Linked DNA regions of Neodiprion lecontei. The protein of the gene in region 1 purifies or fractionates together with the protein of each later gene. This does not show direct contact. Links are inferred from orthologs where the notes say so. Each region holds a gene or a part of one and is shown in the gene's direction. Other genes may lie near its edges.

Region 1 (8,990 bases):
TCCCGAACAAATTAACATATCGGGTCCTTTTTTTTTTTAAAACCCGACTAACTTCTCCGCTGATCAAGAATTTGTTATAAAAAATATTTAAAAAAATGATCTTCCGTTCGAAATTTGTTTATGTAAATTTTTTTTTTATTCTTTTACAGTTAGTTTATTTATTTTTTTATTTCATCTGAGTTAAATTATATTGACGTCATATGCTTTGATTACAGAACTCACAAAAAAAAAGATCTGCTAAAAATACATTGTTATTGCAGTACGCGTCTCTTCGTTTTGGAAAAAAATCGACAAAATAAGGGACATAATATAAAATAAGGACAAAATAAGGTCTAAAATAATTATAAAACTTTTTTATCAGTTACAATGGCTTATTTATTATGAGAATACGTTACAAATAATACCAGAATAAAACATAAAAAACGTTGGAAAAAAATCAAACACATTCAGACACGTTTTTTTCTTCATTTCACGAATGTTACAATATTTTTATATTTAATGTACTAAATAATAGCTACAGACATTTTTACTTAAATATTAACAATGTTTTCTTAAACATACAAGTCTTTACAATCAATATTTACAAGTCTACGTATTCTAAGCTGTTCACTCGAGTTCTTTTTATTGGCACCTCTGGTTTTTTAATTTTCCAACAACGAAATTGTTCGTCTTTCTAAGACCTACAAAAAGTTATGCAACTTTTTTTTCTGTACAATTAATAGTTTAGGAGATCCTAGTAGAAAACCTGTTTTTCAAAACTTTAAACGCGTGTAAAAAATTTAGAAACTCAAATCTTTGGTTGGAAAGTAGTAGGCGTTCATGTGGGCTATAATCGTTACCAGAATCCGCAGGTCTCATCCTTTCTGCACGCCGTGACATAAAACTGCCCTTTTTTCTACCCGTTTCCTGGACTAATCGAGCTGATTGACATTTTTAGTTCGCGGTTTCGCGTCTCCTCACGGGGATGACCGAGCTGATCGACCTATGGGCGGCAATGTCAGTAGGCCTCTTCGTGGCGTCCCATGGAAATGCTCGGGAGCAATCGAGTAGCTAATAACTTACAACACAGGTACGTCATCAATATACTAAACAGTGAACACAAGTATAAGTTTCAAGTATTTACGTCACAGTCTATTGCATTATCTTTTATATCATACAATTCAATCGAATGAGGAACTAATAATAAGTATATATTATGAAATTCCTCTCAAAAAGCACAATTATAGATCTTTGTATGTATGTGACATGTTTACAAGGGTATGACACTACTTGTTAAAAGCCATGTAAGACGGTCCCGGCCGTCTATGAAGTGATATGAAAATACGTCATGTCTATTTTAGCGAGAAGAAAAATGCTAGAGAATGTAAATTCGAAAATTTTTGGTGATTTGAAAAATTAACGACGGAGCCAGGGATCGAAACTGTTGTTTTTATATAATGATTGTAACAAATATAATCATTTCGATAATTATGACAATTTTTCATGTCTCAAATTAATTCATTGTATTTAATTCTGCGAGACAATGTGGTCGAATCCAGAGAAATGAGGGCAAGCGATTTTAAGAAAATTATGTCACATTGAAAAGGCATATCCGTATTATTGGAATAAAATAATGACTGTGTCGATGAAGATATGGTGTTAGAAACGTAGAGAACAAAAAAAAAAAAAAAATTTCTGATAGTTTTCGATTTTGTTTATTTACTCCGCAATTATCGCGTTTCTAAATAAAATTTTTGCTACGGTGAAAACGCGAAGATGCGGCTGTTCTCGGGCTGATCTCGATCGCTCGGTTAGAATGATTCAAGTTTAAGTTGGAAGAAAATTTAATGTTTAATTTCTTATTGTCGTCATTAATTTATTGTCGTCACCGATAAATCAAGGATTGGCCGCTTTAGGCGCTATTATCATGCTCGTTGTATTTCAATACAAGGGTGCAGGGAAGGGTAGAGATCTAGTAAGCTGGTTTGGATAATTATGCTTATGTTACGATAAGTTTAATTGGTTACGATGAAAGATTATTATGTTAAGTTTGTAAGTTGAAACGTAACACGATAGAACACGAAATATCATAGGCGACGACTCTATTACGAGCAAGCATTAATGTTACAATATCGCATAGAATAGTGATTGGAAACTATATCAGCATCTGATGTACATGTTAATTTACGAAAATTAAAATAATGGCAATTGTTGAGACGAAAGGACGACATGTCTGATTGCGCAAGAGCCAGTAGAATCAAGTTCTGGCTCCGAGAATGACGGATAGTCATTTCCAAATTAGTGGATTCGAGCGACCGAAAAGGTTGCGCGTCTCTCTCGCGGTTCGACGCTCGCCCACGAACGTGCTCGAACACATGATATGTGTCATCGAGTACGTAACGCCAATTCAGCTTTGGGGAGTTTCTTCCTGAAAGCTATAGACCTCCCGGGAAATTCGTTTTTCTCAAGCCCATGCAGGTCACCCTAAACGGCACGAGGAGGTCGCAAGACCGATCCGGGGCCGATGGGCGGGCGAGCGTAGGAGCGAGCGAGAGAGAAAACTTCGGAAAGCGACCGCGGAAGGCGCGTCGGGTCCTACCAGCAGGCCGTCTAGGCCAGCGGCGCGGCGGTGGGGGAAAAATAGCTCGGCGCGGGGGGGGGCGCGGCTAGTCTTATCACTTCGGCTCTGATCACCAACCAGGCAGGTCAGACACTACTTTAGCTGCCACGAATGTCGGTACAAGCCCGTTCGGTAGAGTCGATAGAGCAGAAACCTCCTACGCTCCCAGGCCCACCTGGGCCCACTTGCCCGCTGAAAACTGATACACAAAAATTTATCCAGGGGTAACTGTCTTTATAGTCTTCAGTCAACGGCAGCGTGTGTCAGGGGGCTAGTGTGTGTGTTCATAAGTGACAGTGCATAAAAAATGGCGCTAGTGTGTGTGTTCATAAGTGACAGTTCATAAAAAATGGCGCTGGTTCGCATCGAAGACGGTGATCCGTGGTAAGTATTCATACGTTATAAAGTTATTATTTCAAAAATATTTTCATAAGTAATAAAATCAAGCTCTCAATCTCAGCACCCGTTGAATTTTTATGTCTTTCACGTTAAAACAATGTTGCTGAATGCCATTCAATGCCTGACAAGGAATAACCTAGGTTATGTCGTATCGCATAATTGGTTTCAAAAGTTTACCAGATAAAGTCGGATAGAAAAAAAAAATTGAAAATATATTCAATCCTTTTTCGTAACATTCTTTGTTTACTCAAAAAATACTAGGCTCACCGAATATGAGTCGTGTGATAAGCTGTTCAGAGAGATTATGGAACAGTTGACACTTCGCAACAGGGAATCACGAACGTCTCAGAATTATGCCAGTTTGTCAGCTAATATTCGCCTGCGCATGAAGCAGTACAGCGGAGAGGTAGAGCAACTGAAAAGTAAGGTCGACGAGGACTTTAAAATGCGATCGATGTATCCTTGACGAATTTGAGGATAATACGATATTCGTCGCAGCAGTTTTTGACCATTGATTCGTGATATTTTCACCAATGTAAGGGAAATTTTAAGAAATAATATCTGCCGTTTCGGATTCTTTAAAGAGGAATAAGCAAAACCACAACATACCACTCTGTACGAAAAACGCCGAAGGTTACTGTTGTAGTCCAAAGGTTAGCGTAAGTTCGGCCTTGATATCTCATAAGATAATCAAATATCAACTTTTAGCACTTTTTAACTTTGCATTATTTCTCCCCGAAAACCCAAAATTTACCATCAAATTTTCACGCTGCGGAAATTGTACTCCTGCCCTTAATTTGCGTAACTATGGTAAAGACAATTCTTCCATTATAACGTATGAACTTCCTGAGCTAAGTTACAAATCAGAACTAGGGAAGAAGCTGAACGAAGATGGCGTCAGATCGAACAGCTGCAAAGCAAAGACGTGCAGCTTCAGCAGCTCTACAATGCACGCAGCAGTAGCCTCGCCTCTGATCGAGCCAGACTCATGCAACCCAATTCTTCAGCTTTTGCCGATATGGGAACGACCAGCTGGGGACTAGAAGAAGATGACGATCAGCCTATTGACATTCAAGTATCTGTCGAAGATTTGAAAGTTCAAAAGTTACGACTTTTGCAAGGTATTATATCAAGCTCGGCGAAGATTTATTCTGTAGTTTTTACTGTCACAAATGTGACTGTCAACTATTATAAATGAAAAACAGAATTCTTAGATCGGAAGTTATTCATGTTTAAATCTTTATTAGAACAAGATGAAGGTCTGGAAGCATTGTCAAAAGTTATTTCTCGACAAAAGGATATCGCAAACACCATTAATAATGAAGTCGATCATCAGAATGGTGAGTATTTTGATTCACTATCTTTATGTTGCATATTCGCAATGAAAATTGTATACCATCACAATTTGTGGGTTTGAACAATCCAGTAATAGATATCGGAAAATTAATTATTCCTATGCGCGAATTTTTTCACACTAGTTTGTTCATTTCGCCGTTTGTTTTAGAAATAATCGATGATCTGGCCGATCACATGGAGAGGACCGATCAACGATTAATCAATGGAACTCGCCAAGTCGGTATAATTGATCGTAAAGATCGAACGTGCGGTTATTGGATTGTTATCATCTTGTTATTTATTAGCATAATTGCAGTTGCCGTAGTTTAAAATTAACATATAGAGGCTTATATTCACAATATATAATAATCAGCACGGTATATTCAACACACGTGATATCGAAAGTAAAATTACATTTCTTGTTCACCCCTTGCTTCAGATAATCGAAATGGCAACTTCACAAACAATATCGTATATACGATTTCACACTCTTTTCAATTAGCACACTCGCATTGGAAGTTTTCAAAAATTTGTGAAAACCATTGTACGCGGCTGTAAAGTAAATCAATTCGGTGCAGCCCAATTATTCCGTTTATAATTAGATTTTATGCTATTATTTGTAAATATATTATAGATATTTCTCTCGCCTGAAACTCTTTCCATCGCATTTCACTGGTCTTTTTCACCACATTCAAATAGTAGCCAGGTTTGATTTATCAGTGTATCCTTGTTGGGAAAAGAAATCGAACATGTTAGTATCGTTACAGAATGCTTGAGAGTATTTTGAGTTGACTGTCACTGAAAAGAATAAACGAAAATTAAACGTGTTGGGGATCTAACACAAAGAAACGAAGGTCATTCTTTGTGGATTTTGTAAATTGCAATACACAACAAGACTGAATTATGGGAGGAAAAAAATTGCAGCAAGTGAGTCTTCCAGGATATTTTTTCTGTGAACTCTGCATTTTATGTGCAATAACAAAAGAATTGAATTACTCAATGGATTGAGGAGTAAAGTTTGAGATTGACCTTGTGAATGACCTAGTGAAGTGTAATTTTTTTTCTCTAATGTACGATAAGTAATTTGTAGTATTATTGCAACTCGACAGGCAAAAGCTGTCTACAATGTATGTACATAAAAAATTACTCCAAATATATGAGTACGTATTTATATATGTATATATATAAATATAAAGTACTTGACATTCCAACAAAAATTAGTGTTCCTTATAAGCATTTCAATAGAAATTGAGACAATATTGATTCTATATGTTTAACCCAGTTTACACAATCATCCAACTATGCTATTCATTGTGGCACATTGGCAAAATGAATAGTCCGTTTATGAATGCAATTTACATTTATTTTATTTTTCATTAACGATATGCTCCGGTACAACTTTAGCTACTTTGCGCAATTCTTTGTTTAGGGTCTCTGGGCACTGCATTTCCGTCCAACTTACAGGCACCATAGATACACCTGTATAAAAAAAAAAACGAGGAATTTTCTACATTAACCCTTTACTCAACAAAATCCATAATTTCCAAATAGTGATATTTTGTTTTCACAGCAACTAATCTCAATTCACCCTAAAAAGTACAATAAAACTTCCATTTCGAGTCTAAGGCGGTAATTTTTCCAAACGATTTCATTTTGATAAATGAAGTGTAAATGGTTATGACACAAAGATGAAAACCTGTATTGTGCTGATTTTTTGTTTTACATATCTTCAAACTGAGAGCTGAGAGCTATTGAATATTTTATAGCGTATATATTCTTTGACATTTTTCTACCGCTATAAAAAAATAATTCTGCTTACCCTCTTCGCTGTGGGCGATAACGACTCCCAATTCATTCTCGGCAGTGGAAAGTTGATAAGTATGGACTTCGGTGAGAGGTAACTAAATTTTGCATGGGAAAAGTAGCCAACTATGAAACTGCGGTATTGATAACGAACGGTAGAAAAAAATTTTCAAAGAAAAAGGATACAACTCTAGCCAGAATAATATCTCCTGGTTTAAAAGATTTGTACATTTCAGTCTTATCTTTTTCCGTAGCCCTGACGTCTTCTTTTCTTAAAATGCCTCTGTAAGGTCTGGTCAAAACCACATCCCCAATGCATTTTATAACGCATTTGCAAAACCTTTGATTAACGACCATTACCTCGGCTGTTACAATGTCTCCGGGAGCTGGGACAATGCTTTGTTCTCTTATGCCGTGCACCTCAACTGTGCTCTTCTATTGATAATAGAAAGTGAGAAATGATGTTTAATCTGAAGGCAAGCGACCGTGAAATATCTTAAAACTTATCGTACGTGTTCATCTTTAACCAAGTTCACCACTCCTGCTAATTTTGAATAAATATATCCGTGCTGCTCGTAAGTTCCCGGTCCTGGAACATTTACTTTGTCCGACAAACAGAGCCTCTGACCTGGATTGCAATAAAAATTTATCATGAGTCTTAACCACCTTTAATTTGCATACAAACAAAACGTAATTGAGGATAGGACGGGCCAATTCATTTGGGACATTTCTGCGTAGAAAACTTGGGAAATGTTTATCGATTTCGTAATTCATTCATCCTTACCTGGAACACACACTATTGGCTCATTTCTTTCGTCCATTTCAGTTTTGAATCTATGTAAGTTTATTATTATTTTTCAAATTGCGACAACGGTGACAACATGTGGAGCACGTTTGAAATTAGGTTAGGTTGGGTTGTCATATTGTAGTTGGATTGGTTGGATTGGTTGGATTGTAAACAGAATTTTGTCAGCCTCGAAATCGCAAATGATCAATTGATCGATATGATTTAAATGTAAATCCATGTAAATCATCGTCGCACCAATCATTTGGAACGTTGACTGACTTCAGTCAAGTCTCGGAATACCGCGGAAAAGGGGTTAAGTAATTAGCTCTTAATACCTGGATGACAATGTTAAAATTGTAAAGGTTGAAAATAATGAACAATTCAAAAGTGCCGCCTCCTTCATTTCTACAAATTAATAAGTTTCCGTCATCAATGTTCGAAATTCTAACAATAGAAAATTATTCCAATTTATAAATCTCGCAAGATGTGAACCGATTCCAAGAAATCGTTGATCAAATTTGATCGAGTTTCGTTGCGATTGTTAAAAATAATTAGTGATTAAAATTTTTTAAATTGCTCTCCCGCCAGTTTGTATAACCGGAAGTCCGCGTTAATTTGAAAAGGTTTCGTACATTACTTCAGACCGCTCGATGTTCTTCTGTTGTTTAAAATTTATGGTGCTTGCACTGAAAGTTTTACTCCACCATACGCGGAAAACCTGTTGAATACTAACAGCAAGTCGCATAATTGACACATAACATTTATGACAGTTTATTCGCTGCAATGCTACAACATTACGTAATTATCAAATGTACATATTAATTAACATATTTCTACTTATAACTTAAAAGTCACAGACTACACAAACTATTGAATTGAACTAAAAGAAAGTCACCTGTATAAACAAGTAATGACATGATCATAGAAGTAATTGTTTGAAAAAATGTATACAGTGGGTTACATTAGTATCTCAGATACATATTTTCAAACGCATTATTATGATTATATAATTAATTACCTTCTTTATTACACATTGTTATATTATACAAAATATAAGCTCGATTCCAGGAGTCCACATAGCTCACAAGTACACATAATAGGTATAGTAATATCTATTCAATTGCGTTTCAATGTACAATTTTTTTTGTTGAATTACATACTATATTATTCACACACGTTGGAACAACATCGTCACTTTGAGATGCGTTGAATACTTTTTTTTATACGTATCAAACAAAAATGGATATGTGTATACATAAAACTTATTGAATCGACTGTAGATACGTGATACCCTATAAATAATCCGCTATATCAGTAAATCACATAATTTATACAATAATTGATCGGTCGAAAATATCTTTTAAATCGCATTATCGATGCTGTTGCGAAGAAAAATTAAATAATAGCAAATCGAAGTTGATGTGAAAAAAGAAGATAGAAATACAATAGAACCTGGTTTATCCGAGGTAATATGGGGAGAGCATAACTCGGATGCGTGAAATTTCTGATAATACGGAAAACATGTACAATCCATGCCATTACGATGTTTTACCCTAGCTTCCAGAATCGGAACTGCAGCGATTATTGCTCGCAATGTCACAAATCGCAAGAAACTTTTACAAGTTTATCCGTATTCAAATAAAGATGCGACACAAAACTATTTCATACACATAAGGCACAGTGGATTGTTCAGTTTCATCCAAGGTTCTCCGTATTATCCGAAGATATACACATTGGTGAATGCAGAGTGCTCGGATGAGATGGGCCTCTTGGATAATGCGGAACCTTGGATAATCGAATGTCGGATAAGCTAGGTTCTACCATAGAAATAACAATTTGCATGATTTAAATAAACGCCTTGATAGTTTCGTCGCTTGTAGATGAGCGCTAGTTAAACAAAGTACAATGAGGATGGGGTGCGATGAGGAGGATCGCCAATTGATTTACCTACATAATTAACCCTTCTTGAACTTAATCAGCAATATCGATAATGTGAGGAATATTATTATCCACAGGAACGTGGAGATGAAACCGTCGTAAACGGCTGGCTGAGATATGGGCCATCCT
Region 2 (8,519 bases), about 1.5 Mb from region 1:
AAAATCCAAACATCCACACCCCGAGGTGTGAAGCCGGGTTAAGGAGGAGCACGGCACTGCACTATCGGCGGTGGACGAAACAACGGGCTTGCATGAATGTGACTAACGAGTTACAAGCGGCGCATGTGACTTTGCGAACTGGCTAGCGTAATTTTACGCGGCGCCGAGGGACTCCTCAAGTTTCGGTCGGCTTAATAGCACGCGCCTACAGTTACTGGCGGTGGGAAAAATGTAGATCTACACGAGTTTACGCCGCGGGCCGGCCTGAAAGACTCGCGGCACCGTTATCTCGATATATGCGCTATCTGACGCACTGCGCTTATTTACGGCGCTCCCTGTTCTTACCAAGAGCAAAACATCGCTGCGTGCTACATAACTTAACCGCAGACATAGACACGCGTTGCGAAGTATCTTCCAGAGGTGAAAATTTCGTGAAATCCAGACACGTGAGGGATATACCATTTTAAAAGAAATAGATCGGTGTTAATTTGAAAAAAAAAAAAATATATACAACCGAGTACCGTAATTTTTTTGATTGAGGCAAAAACCTGATGAAATGGATTAATGCAAGTTATATATTATCTGCGCGCATTAAATTATTTTATGGACGCTGGGTATAATGTATCGCATGAATGATTTTAAACTTCGTTGTGATGACTTTTGCTCTAGTTTTGCATGTAGAACTCTGCCTGGTCGTCGGTACAGGTCAAATTAAAAAACGTCTAGAACGCGCAGTATTCAGGATGGCATATATCGTGTTTCTTATCGAAGCGATCCACCAATAAAAACACATGATTCGTGACATTTTGTCAAGACGCAGCGATGCAAATATTTGCGTTTAGGCAGAAGTACAAATATTAATCCTTACTCTAATAGAAAGCCAAAACGACAAAACCCGCGACGTATGACTCAAAAGATATTTCTATCAATTTCTTAGCAGCTCACAAACTTGTCGAAATATTTAAAAATTATTGCTGACGTGAATAAATTATCGATCCAAGGTCTGCAAGGATTACAAGAACTAAAATCACTAGTTGAAATAAGGTAATGTTTCAAATTTCTAATTTTCCATCCTCCCATGATGCTTTGAACCGAAGTAACTTACCTATCTAATGGCTGAAAATGATGCTATATTCTAAGGATACAGTCAATCCAAGTTTATAACTTTCTACACCTACGTCGCTGCAAACATTGTACTGGAAATCGAGTTCAGCCCTCGACTTAACGTCCTCAAAACAACAAATGTATGCACGTTACTGCAGTTCATACATTCCTTAAAAACATTCCAGTATTTCTACAATATGAATGCAGTATTACGCAAAAAAAATTCTGTCAGAGCTGTATTAGAAATATTTTACACAATATTTAGAAATATTTCAGTTACATTTAAAATTGAATCATTAGTCAAAAACTTCTCTAATATTCCTGAAACATTTGATGTAGTTTGGGACAAAATTCAGTTGGGAAACTTGGAACTATTAGATCGACATTTCACTCTCTGATATATATTACTGTAAAAGTATCGAACTTCACAACTTATAAATATTGCACAGAGGATTTGAAGTGTATTTACGAGGGTCTGATTTCAGGAGTTTCTGTAAAATGATTGTGCTACAGTGTCAGAAAAAGCGTTCTGATTCCTTATAGAACTGATTAAATATTGTACAAAATTTTAATCCATTTATTTTTCGCCCTGAGCAGCCTTTCGCTAGGTCTGAAAGAATATTTATGTTTGCCTATAAAAAACATAGATATATACATATAGCAAACTACACGATTAGTCATCGTCGGTGATAACACCGAACCTTCCAATATATAACGTATTTCCAAATGTGCGTACCGTGGGACATTTAACACAGGGTGATTCCGCCTGTATGACAGAGCAACAGCTCGAGACTGAAGTTTAAGAATAAAGAGTACATCGAATTGCCTGTATGCAGGCGGATACGTCGCGTAATGCATGTACCCTTAATTGCCTATATGCGGGCGAAATCACCGTAACTGGTGAATGACGCGTCGATAGCGCGCACTCTTGTGGCCAGAAAACAAAGCGGGTGACGTGAGTTTTCCTCCTTGAATGCCTGCTGACAGTGCTTGGCATGCTTGGTGCTTTGTTCGTTTTGTAGGTGGATGAGTGTGTTTTGACTCATTTGAACTTTGACGTAAATTTTCGTCGTTATCGAGTGATTAACCATCACCGTAAACCGATGCAATCTATAACTCGCGGTCAGCAACAAGTGCGCACATTGTCTTTGGTGTGGTCATTTACGGAGTAGAGAGCTGCCAGGCGAGGAAATATCCTCGAGAATTTCCGCATTCACAAATTAAGGTAGGTCATTGCCACTGTCTCTGGTTAGACGTGCCAGCGACTTGTCACTAACTTTCACAGCAGGCAGAGTTGATATTGAACCTCTCTGAGAATTCCTCACTAACGATGCGAGTGAGTCAGAATTGCTGTGCGATTTTCGTGGCGACAATGAAGTTGACTATATTGTTTTCCCAGGCTGACCGATAGATCGGCGAGCCATGATTCAAGGAAATGAAAAGTACATCGGATTAATGCAGGTTAAGAATACCGATGTCTTATCCAATTGACGACAAGTTTTCTTATCAATTTACAGAGAAAGAATGCCTATTCTATACAGTGTCGTGGCACGTGGGCCAACCGTGCTCGCCAAGCATGCGGCGCGCACTGGAAACTTTGCCGAAGTGACCGAACGGATTTTGGCTAAAATACCACCGCACAATGACAAGCTAACTTATACCCAAGGGCCGTACCTCTTCCACTACATGTGCGATAACAGGATTGTATACATGTGCATCACGGATGACGTGCGTAATGAGTATTTCCAAGAACTTTGACATAGCGCCCAGTACCCACTACTTGTGACAAAAATAACTTTTACTAACACGAAATACGAGTCAATCGGGAAAGGGGTTTTATCCAAAGCTGCGCAATTGTTTAAAAATTTAGAAACAAAGAAACAAAGCTGGTATCACCTCTGTAATGTAATTCCTTGAGATCTGGGAATGTCAATTCTAGCTTTCTCTGCGTTTCTTTCAATTCTGTTTTTAATAACCGATTGTTACAAGTATAAATGAACCAGAATATATAAAACGTACCTAGAATATCATATATTTTGTTTCCACTTTTGTTTACATCAACAGATGACGTTTGCATATAGGTCATTCTCACTTAAGAGGTAAATTGCTTATTGATAAAACGCGGCACGGTAAAATTTTTGAAAATTTAATTAAATTTTATAATGTTTCGATCAAAACAATCATTCTAAACGTGTCTGCAAGGCAGTCAGTCAATTTATTAATTTTATCTTGTTTTATAAGAAACCAGGGGAGAGACTTGATATACAGAGTAGGATACTTTGTGAACAGGGAAAGGATTTTAATGTTATTTTATGAAAGAAAACAACTTTTCTTTTGAGTATTAACTTTATTCTGTATAAAAAATTCAGTATAAAAAATTATAGTTTGAAGTTTTCATATCCCCCCTGGATATCGTGTCTTTCCCCTGGCCCTTAACAAGACAGGGGAGATATAAACAGGGGAGATATAAACAAGGGAGATACTTTTTAGTAACAAAAACAGAAATAATGACAAATGTATTTATTGTACGCGATTAACCAAGAAAACTTAGAATCTATACACTACAAGAAGTGAATATACAAATGAATTAAAATTTTTAGACGAATATTTTTAAAATAAAACTTACCAGTGCAGAGACTCCATTCACTCGTTCTCAACTGTATCCACAGAGTGTCAGTAATGAAATAAATGACAAAATGACTGCGCACCTAGTTCGAGTGGCGCTGATTACAAACTATAAACTCAACGACGTTCGTTCAAGGTCTTCAATTGCCGCAAGTCGGTAAACAAATGCCGATTTTACAGAAAAATAAGAATGACTGAGAATGACCCATATGTATCAGCTCATGGCCACGTTATATGTTCTCAGGCTATATGTAATCACAAAATAATTTACTTGAAGTTTTGCTCTGTGCACACCGGTTTTCTCTAAAATTAGTTCAACTACATAGATACGTAACTGAACTTAGAAGAAAAGTTTGCCAAAAAACTTTTATAGTGTAAGTTGCATGAATATTTGGTCAAATGAGAACGTTTCGTACTTTGATATGGACAAAGTTAAATATGCGAGGATGCACCTAAAATTAGTTGCTTCATCTCTTCTGGAATCTTAAAAAATGACACAGAAAAAGAAGAGTAAATTACAAGGTGGGTGGGGGCAAAAATGTAGAGCAATCAGCAAATCAAAAGTCTTCAATATCAAATTTTCAGAGTCAAAAATCTGTTTCGCTTGGACTGATAATATTCGATACATTTCTCAAAATGGTTTTTAATACTCTTGAAGAAAACTGTTTTTTAATCATTTTCCTTGGACAAACTATTACAAATTTCACAATTGTCGTCATAATAAAAGCAGTGAAACTTGATATTGCTCGTAATTTCATGGGTAATTATTTTATAAGCATCAGTTATCTACAATCAACAGATGGTATTGTCTGGATAATACGACATTTACCAATCTTAGTACAAATGCAAATGTTTCTGTTGATTAACTGATTGGTGACTTTGAATTTCAGGAATTTCAACGGTCGCGTGCCTTCTTATACTTGAATGAAATTAAGAGACGATTTGAAGCAGCTTATGGACATGGAGCTCAAACTGCTCTAGCCTATGCAATGAACTCTGAGTTTTCGAGGGTGCTGGCCAATGAAATGGTAAGTTATAAGTTTTCGAGTCCCGTGGAGAAAATTTTTGAGATCACAGCAGCGATTCAGCTTCTCTGAAAGATTGTGGTTTTTATGCACATACCAATAACTATGACAAAATTTCGGTGCAAAAATTGAAAGAACTTTGTTTCTTACTGTCAATTGAAAAAGGTGTAGAAAAAAACAGAAAACACTAAGTTTGACATCAATAAATCTTAGTTCTCAACTTGTTATAAATTTTTTAGTGAATATGCTACTTTTTTAAAATCTACTTTCATTACCTGCGACAACGCTCATTAAAACAGTTCATTTTCTTAACATTAAACAGAAACACTACAGCGAGTCCACAGATATCGATACACTATCCAAAGTGCATGGGGAACTTGATGAACTTAAAGACATTATGGTGAAGAATATCGATAACGTTGCGGCACGAGGGGAAAGACTAGAATTGCTCATAAACAAAACTGAGAATTTGACTGCTAGTGTAAGTTTCAATCCCTACTCTTATAAGTTATCTATAGGGCAATTCTTCTGGAAGGTATGATTAAAAAGCCGAGTTTCAACCGAATTTCATAACATGCAATATCTTGTTGCAGAAATGTCATTCTTGAGAAGTAATTGCCATTGAAAACTGAACTATCGACTTTGTTTAGTTTGATAGATTTATATATGCATATCATCTTCATCATTCCCACGAAAATCTTTAAAAAATCATACAAGAATTGGCAGCGCCACCAAGTAAACCATTACAGAAAATTTTTATTTTTTCAGTATTCTACAAATTGTTCCTCTCCATAGATAGTTTTTATTAAAAAAGTAAAATTTGCACTAATGACTAATTGACTAATCTTGCAGTCTGTGACGTTCAGGAAAACAAGCAGAAATCTGGCTCGTTCCCTTTTTTGGAAGAACATAAAGCTTTATGTGATAGTGGCTCTTGTTTTGATCGTACGTATAAATCTCAACAATTAGGCGTCTAATGTGTCACAAGGAATTCTACCAATCATACACATAAAAAGTATATTCTGCTCTTATTCAAACAGTTCATCATGCTTTACCCAAAACTTTACCTATGAGAAACCCTTGAGCTATGGATCGTTGGAGCCTTTGACTTAGGTCATATCCAAGGATCGTGAAGTTTTGCTTTGTTCATGAACCCACGTTACAAATTTTATATCTTGCAAAGTTACAAATGTTGATAAATAAAGTAAGAGAATTAAGAAATTCAGATTTACACTTAAAAGAACCAAAATTTTGCCTATCCATCGTTTGTTTCCTTCGTAAAATCAAACGTAAAATGTTTATCGAAAAGTAGAACAAAACTTTATCATCGGATACAAACTAAAATTTAACGCCGTAATTTTTCCCAAGTCGGAGGTATATTACTCTGCTTAAATAATTATGATAAATTTTAATAGATACAGTAAAATCAATTTTTTGATGCCGGGTCGTTATTTTTATGATTGATGAAATTCCCTGCATTTTATTTGAATTGAATGATTATAGCAGTATGTATTTATTATTTTTTTTATTCCAGGTTGTAATATACTTTGTTGTGGCAATGGCTTGTGGAGGTCTTGCATGGCAGAAGTGTGTCGGTAATTGAAGATATTTTAGACAATTCTAAATTTGGATTGTATGAAATCAGTGCCGGTATCCTTGACCAATGAATGAACATGTTAAGCGTTTTCGCAGACATTGGCCAAATTATTTAAGGTACTCAAACAATGAATCTGTTGCACTGTTTTTTGATGGAAATGTTTTCAAATCATGGCACACGGTAAGGTAGAAGGAAGGAGGAAGGATGGGAGGAGAGCGATATTTGGTATTGAACTAATTTATAAATTCAATCAATAAAAATACCTTTATATATTGTTTATCATCTTTATTTTTTTTATTTTTATTTGTTTTTTCTTCTATATCGTTATTGCATACTGTTAAGACGGATGCTGAATAATATCGTCGTAAAAGTTCAAAAGCATTACGTTTCGATCATTGGCCACAAGATTCTAGACTTATTGTGATATAACAACCATTTATTTTGTTTCTAAATAGTAAGAAATTTGAGTAACCGTGAATTTATCTCTTTCAACAATTGTTAATAGATAGTAAAGTGGAATAAAAAGTTGAACGGAAGAAATGAACTGGATACTTGTTCCCTTTTACAAAGTGGGGCAATAAAGGCATATTATCATGTAATGTACATACCTGTAGGTAATAACTGATTTTGTTAACTTCGAATTATTTTACTACTGTGATTATCATATCATAAGCATATATGCTCAAACATAAGTAACTACAGCCTGTATAAACATTATTTTAAGCTATATTTCACGTAGTACAGGGTGGTCGGTTTCAAATACCCCGTGCGAATATCTCGGAAAGGAAAAGAGATACAAAAAAAAGTTTCATACAAGACTTGTAGCGTTTCAAGAGATAAAGACGATGCTGATATAGGCCGGGATTTGAGGATTGTATCATTTTTTAGGTTTTGAAAATAACGTCTGATTTTGGTTAAGCAATAGGTATTTTGGATATAAGCAGCTGATACCAAGATCAAACACGAATTTAAGGACGCGAAATTTTTTTTGCCGTATTTTCTCCCTTTTTTCACCTCATCTTCCGTGCGTATTCATTGACCCTCAACCCTCACTGCAAAAACTGACCACCATGTGTACCCACCTAAATTATATTTGACTACTCCGCTGCATTATACTCTCAAATGAATCGTAATAAAAATATTATTCGTCATTACACAGAACTTGTCGTCGCTCTTTCGAACGTATAACTTTGGTTAACGAATCCCAAAATTGATCCCACATATACCGTCGTAATGATCAAAAGTTATTGAAATTTTCTGTGGAATTGTTGGGGACAAAAAATAGAAATGAAAAACAATAATTTGAAATGAATCAGTATTTCTCATATAAATAAATAAATACGTGCATACCTAAAACATCATCGCGGAGGAACTTACTATAAGTACGCTATAAAAAATTATCGCAATTTTTTGTTATAAACTCACACACAATGACATTATCTATCACTTCTGTTGAAACTAAGCCTATTGCCATGTTCCAGAAAACTGACATAAACGGTGAAAAAGGTAGCAGCCGTAATAGGCGATGAAAATTTCTCAATTACTTGCGAAGATTCAGTTAAAGAACGAAAAGAAATCGTGAGTAATAGTCCGGTCTTAGGTCATATTCTAATTTTGCTTCAGTCTGTTGGCTTCGAGATATTGGATTTTTCTGCCTGACATTGTTCCATATTGGTAAAGTTATAAACTTAGATCGAGTTATGTTGGAGATTAAATTTTGTCCAATACATGTTTCAATAAATAAATTTTAATTCTCTGTTATTATTGATACGACGGTGATTATTCTTATACGGTTACGGAACACGGCCCGATTGAATCCGTAAAAATCAATCGATTGTTTTTCGTTTTTTTTTTTTATTTTAAAGTGAGCATGTGAAATCAAAATTTCGTAAATTTCAGTATGTCGTCTTAATAGCGGAAAAGTTTCTTGATAATTTATAATTTCATTCAAAAAATTTATCAATTTCAGGTAAAAATACTCATTAATCTCTCACTTATTATATCAAGTAGGAACTCAGTAAATAAGACAATGATGATAATTGATACTTTAATCGCATAAATTGATATTGTATTGTATTGTATCAGAAATGGCTGGAGTACCACCTCACGGTGACATTCACCATCAACTTTCGGTATGCAACAATAACATAACAAGCAATTGGGATTGC
Region 3 (5,188 bases), on another chromosome or scaffold:
AAATTTTAGGGGAGCCCAATGTGTTGCAGAAAAAAATAATACCTTGCGACAATATTTAGTGAAAAGGTTCGAGATTGCATCTCCCTCTTCGCGTGTATGTTCATTAGTAGCTCTCCTTAAGTAACTACAAATTACGACGTAGCATGCCACCGGTATGGAACGCCGTGGTACATACAATTATAAAGGGCAAAAAAGTAAACCACGTCAGTAGATTTTTTTTAATTTTATTTTTCGTTTAATAAAAGATGAACAGCTTATTTATCGGTCTTCTTGGGCTTGCTGGAAGCCTGTTGAGCTTTGATTACCTTCACGACGATTTTCTGTTCCTCGATTAAAAACGCACGAACGATTCTAAAACAAAAAAACACCACATTAAAGTAAACGCAGTAGTATTTACAACTTGGGATTCTACGTTTCGTTTCGATGTTTCAATTCAAGCAAAAATGTGAAAATATGAACCTATATTCTGATTAGAATCGAACTACGGAAATTATGCGAGATCAAGTGAACAGAGTAAAATAAATCAATCGCTGTTGATAAAAACATCATCTGAATAAATAAATTCTGAAACACAGTAAAGAAATGTAGACTAAAATGTTATTAATGATTTTATTACATACAATCACCACCGTACTACGAATTTGAGATTGAGTAATATTCAGTAAGAGTAAACAACAAATAATGAACCGAAGTGGCAAGTATGTGTAAAAAACATTATGTCCTAACTTCAATAGTTAGGCAGGTAACTGCAATACCGAACCAAGCTTTGATATAAAACTTGACCATAAGGGTTATAAATTATGAAAATAATTTATTGTGAAATTTTTACGCAAGATAATATAGCGTGTGTGTAATTATAGAATTTTCTATAATATTGGTGGAATATTTCAAATGACAAATAGTCATTAGGTTAAGAGGTTGTTATAGTCAGTTTTCATCAGCTGTGTAAAACGTCATTTATTTTGACTTATTATCAAAATTACGCCATCACTGATTTGAAAATACCATAATCAGCACAATTCTACATGCATTACCAAATACAAATGTCCAAAAAAGTTTGATTTTGCGCAACAATGATGCCCAGAAATGTATTTTGATAATTGAATTACTACGAATCGCAGTAATAAATTTCTTGGAGTTGTTTTCACATGAAATCAAAAAGTTTTTTCAAGTTACATGTAGAATTACACTGACTGCGACATTTTTGCATCAAGGCTGCATAGACTTTGATATTAGTTAAAATTGGTGATAGTTTATTGAGTTTGGAAAGATTGACTATAGTATCTTTTATACTTAATAATGTGTACGATTGAGTCTTTTTAAATTCGGTCATGTCTGTTAACGACTACGCACCTTTCCTTGACACATTTGTGGCAAAGGACACCGCCGTAGACACGCTTTACTGTCTTTTTGCGCCTGCACATACGTGAGCGTTCCATTGGCCTGGCAGGCTGGATACCCCTAAGTTTATCTTTGCATTGTCCACATCTTGGGATCTTCTTAGGTTTCTTCAGGTACTGGTAAACAAGTTTACCACCAGGCGTACGAACGCTGTAAGAAAGAAGCCGATAAATCACAAGTGATATGATAGGTGATGTAAAATTGTTCCATAGAAAACATCATTTGCTAGGTCTGGCGTAAATTTAGTCAACAAAACCCATCCTTAATATTCAACAGAAAAAGCCGTGTTAAGGTCGATACAATAACTGTCGTACGCACGTGGATAGACTCAAGAGAAACGGGTAGCGATAACCAAAACATAACCTCACTTAAACGGACAAGAGAAAATCTTATATTAACGATGAGTTTAACCGTCGTATGTGTACTTATTCAAGCGGGAATATTTAGGGGAATAATAGCTTTGAGGCAATTTGATATGTGAAAACACTTACACACGTCTCCTGTTACTTTTCGTATTATACGACAGCCGTCGTCTATAGGTGAGTCGCTGCACCATTTTGGCTCTGTAAAATAAAGTACGATCGTTTAAAGGTGGCAATAAATATGTGGACGATATACATGATTAAACATGAAAGGGTATCCGGGAGTCACTGGGTGCACGCATAATCGCACGATTATTCGAACAAACTTGGATATTTAATAAATACATGAAAATACGGACAAACCTTTGTCGGACCTAACCGGAAAAGGAAGCGACGTTTTACGCAGTAGACGATTCGTTAACGGTGTCGTTAGCGCCGCAGTCGATCTCGAGGGTGTCGAGTTTTCGAACTAAAAATAAAGATGGCGACGCTCGTTGACAACTACGAGCAACAATACGCTGTTTTGACAGCTGATATCACCGCTAAAATAAGTAGGATCGCGATAGTGAATAGCGGTAAGGATATTTTCGTTGTGTACCTTGAAATAATCACGTTATTTTAACGTTGAGTTTATATAAATACGGTGATTGTGACGTGACAAACGGTCGCTATCTAGCGGTCTTGCGACAAATGATAATCGATACAAATCACATCTCGGGTGATACGCATACGTCATCCATGATTTAATTCACAGGTGAAAAAAGGGCGCTCGTTCAAGATGTTGACCGGCAAGTTGAGGAGGCTCAAGAGTTGGTAAGGAAGATATTTACCGTGTTTTTATCAGGTGACGATGCCCAAACTACGTGAAAACGTAACAAGAATCTTGTTTAATTGAACTCATTTTTTATTTGACTCCTTTTCTTAGCTTGAGCAAATGGAGCTGGAGGTACGGGGAATGAGTGGCACAGCTCGCGATCGACTTAGGGGTCGCGTAGAGAGTCATAGAGCAGAACTAAAGAGATTGAATCAAGAATTTCAGTCCGCTAAACGACCTAAGGACGATGGAGGAGCTGAGGGGGGTAGAGACGAATCGTGGGATACCAGTATAACAATAGATCAAAGACAGAGATTACTAGATAATTCTGATAGGATAGAAAGAACAGGGAGAAACTTGCAAAACGGTTACCGCATGGTTTTGGAAAGTGAAGAGGTTGGTTCTCAGGTTCTAAAAGATCTTCATGATCAGAGAGAAACCATACAAAGAACTAGAGGAAGGGTTGGTATATTGGATTTCTGAATAATTAAGTGCCAACCTCCTACAATTATCAGCATTTATTGACCGTAAATATGTATTTTTAGTTACGAGAAACTGATGCGGAGCTCGGACGAGGATCTCGATTGCTATCGGGGATGATTTTCAGGGCTGTTCAACAAAGGATAGCCCTTGCAATTGTTGCCCTCGTACTAACAATAGTGGCATGCTTCGTAGTATATTATAGCTTCAAGTCTAAGGGTTAAATGTACAATATAACACGGTGTCACGCATCTTTCAGATCAAGTAACATTAATGATAATTACTTAACGTAATAACTTCTCCGCCAGTATAAAATCTACGTTTATTGAAGTTAAATTAAGTCGCTAATCAACAATCAGCAGGCTTACAAGTAGGTCGTGCCAAAATAGTTTGCCGCGGTTTCTACAGAATTATCTTTCAATTTATCTGTTCGATTTAATACAAGCTTAAACGTCGCATTGACTAGCTTGTTTAGGAATTAATATGCCGAATGTACCTTCATTCCACCGTTTTAATATTGAAATACATATGGGATTGCGATTGTTGAGGTCATCTATAATATCTCGATTTGCGTGATGCATGATCAGGGTTTTTCATAGCTCGCCTAGATTTGTATATATAGGTAAAACGAAATTGAAGAAGATTTCTATAATGCACTGCCTATTTTTGGACATCTGATTCTTGCACAGAGTTCTTGAATATGCGACTTTGCCATACTTTTTATTTATATCACTTATTTATATACCTATTGTCGCATTTGATAGTTACTACACTTTAGATAACATGGGGATGCTGTTTTATGTATTTTCGTCTTGGGTTATTGCCAAAGTTCGAAACATGTAGACCTGCATACTGTAATGAATTTGGTATACATTTGTAGCAACCACGCTTTGATGTGTAAACAACCTTACTTCGTGTTATTTCAATTCTCGTCTTGCATCACTGGTGTGTGTTCTTGAATCGACCAGATATCGAATTCGTTACAGCAGGTGGTGAAACTAATTTTAATTTATTAAAATACCATTGATTGTAAACATATTTAATGTAGATATAATGAAGACCTATTTGCAAAGTGTAAGTATTAAATTAATAACTCACTGATGTAATTGGAGTAACTCACTGAAGCAATTATTTTTGACATTTCACCTGTCTTTATTTGAAATAGTTGGGTAACATATTGTAATCTGATTCTTATATTTTTCCTCTAACGTAAAAAAGTAGAAAGATATACAATACAGTCATTGCCTTCCATGCTAGTTGGTGTTCTAGAAAAATGTGTAGAACAAAACATCGCGAAGAAGCAAATTGAAAATGTGATGACTAAAAATTTTTAGTAGAACTTCGTATATTTCATTGCATTCCCTACATTTCTACGCATATATGTATATAGCAATATACCTATATGTATGTATATGTTATATATGACAAGTATGAAAATTTGCTTACCTTAAAATTTGTTTAAACGCAGCTGGGATTTATTAGATACATGTTACATATCTTGTACAAACTGTAAACACCCATCCTTCACAAAATCGTCGATGAATTACTGAAGCAGCAAATAATCTGTCATTTGTAATGAATTCTAGTTACGCATATAGAACATTTATCGTTAGATCGTTTTATTTTAACGTATTCCATGCGAATATGCATTAATCAAATTTAATCGATTCAACGCGTCAATTAGCCCACTCAAGTATTATAGTAACAGAGTTGAGTGGATTTATTTTTACTTGTTTAATATTTTCAAATTTGTTCCACTTCGTCGTTTGATCATGTATATTAATAGCACGATCTTTCAAGGATCTCTACCGGTTTGGTTCACCCAGGCTAATTTCAACTAACGAAGCAGGTATGTGTGAATGTATGTATGTATATTACAGATACACCGAGGATTGAGTTAGAGGAATTGAAATAATAGAAGAGTTGAATATTTCGTACGTACAGAAAGGAGCCGGTCAACATCTTGAAGGAAGAAGGAACCAGACAAGTTTAACAATAACCTGTTTTATTATTTATAATATTATCAATATCTTAATAGCTTATTTAGTGTTCCTCTTTCAAGACTATGTATTGGTGAAAATGATGTAATAAATGTGTATCAAGTGTTGACAATAGCGTTTTTGGTCTAGAA

Evidence for each region. The genes of interacting proteins can lie anywhere in the genome.
Region 2: the proteins of syntaxin-8 (region 1) and vesicle-associated membrane protein 7 purify together in Homo sapiens (affinity purification with western blotting; 3 studies listed by BioGRID and IntAct, with this or other methods). This does not show direct contact. The link is inferred for Neodiprion lecontei from reciprocal best matches to the Homo sapiens genes STX8 and VAMP7.
Region 3: the proteins of syntaxin-8 (region 1) and vesicle transport through interaction with t-SNAREs homolog 1A purify together in Homo sapiens (affinity purification with mass spectrometry; 3 studies listed by BioGRID and IntAct, with this or other methods). This does not show direct contact. The link is inferred for Neodiprion lecontei from reciprocal best matches to the Homo sapiens genes STX8 and VTI1A.

What each region holds. Positions count from the first base shown.
Region 1 is NC_060263.1:20,664,724-20,673,713, forward strand, and holds syntaxin-8, read left to right. Parts: upstream 1-2,657; 5' UTR 2,658-2,948; coding exon 2,949-2,983; intron 2,984-3,259; coding exon 3,260-3,454; intron 3,455-3,865; coding exon 3,866-4,119; intron 4,120-4,245; coding exon 4,246-4,338; intron 4,339-4,502; coding exon 4,503-4,663; 3' UTR 4,664-5,699; coding exon of another isoform or gene 5,700-5,812; 3' UTR 5,813-6,152; coding exon of another isoform or gene 6,153-6,234; 3' UTR 6,235-6,322; coding exon of another isoform or gene 6,323-6,571; 3' UTR 6,572-6,648; coding exon of another isoform or gene 6,649-6,764; 3' UTR 6,765-6,920; coding exon of another isoform or gene 6,921-6,957; 3' UTR 6,958-8,148; downstream 8,149-8,990. Other genes in the region: exosome complex component CSL4, read right to left, coding at 5,700-5,812, 6,153-6,234, 6,323-6,571, 6,649-6,764, 6,921-6,957; ABC transporter G family member 20, read right to left, coding at 8,879-8,990. UniProt on the Homo sapiens protein: Vesicle trafficking protein that functions in the early secretory pathway, possibly by mediating retrograde transport from cis-Golgi membranes to the ER.
Region 2 is NC_060263.1:22,132,156-22,140,674, forward strand, and holds vesicle-associated membrane protein 7, read left to right. Parts: upstream 1-2,058; 5' UTR 2,059-2,329; intron 2,330-2,503; 5' UTR 2,504-2,526; coding exon 2,527-2,546; intron 2,547-2,621; coding exon 2,622-2,832; intron 2,833-4,619; coding exon 4,620-4,757; intron 4,758-5,076; coding exon 5,077-5,235; intron 5,236-5,606; coding exon 5,607-5,699; intron 5,700-6,288; coding exon 6,289-6,357; 3' UTR 6,358-7,512; downstream 7,513-8,519. UniProt on the Homo sapiens protein: Involved in the targeting and/or fusion of transport vesicles to their target membrane during transport of proteins from the early endosome to the lysosome. Required for heterotypic fusion of late endosomes with lysosomes and homotypic lysosomal fusion.
Region 3 is NC_060260.1:32,071,331-32,076,518, forward strand, and holds vesicle transport through interaction with t-SNAREs homolog 1A, read left to right. Parts: upstream 1-2,210; 5' UTR 2,211-2,244; coding exon 2,245-2,338; intron 2,339-2,517; coding exon 2,518-2,576; intron 2,577-2,688; coding exon 2,689-3,039; intron 3,040-3,122; coding exon 3,123-3,281; 3' UTR 3,282-4,181; downstream 4,182-5,188. Other genes in the region: 60S ribosomal protein L34, read right to left, coding at 255-351, 1,354-1,551, 1,893-1,957. UniProt on the Homo sapiens protein: V-SNARE that mediates vesicle transport pathways through interactions with t-SNAREs on the target membrane. These interactions are proposed to mediate aspects of the specificity of vesicle trafficking and to promote fusion of the lipid bilayers.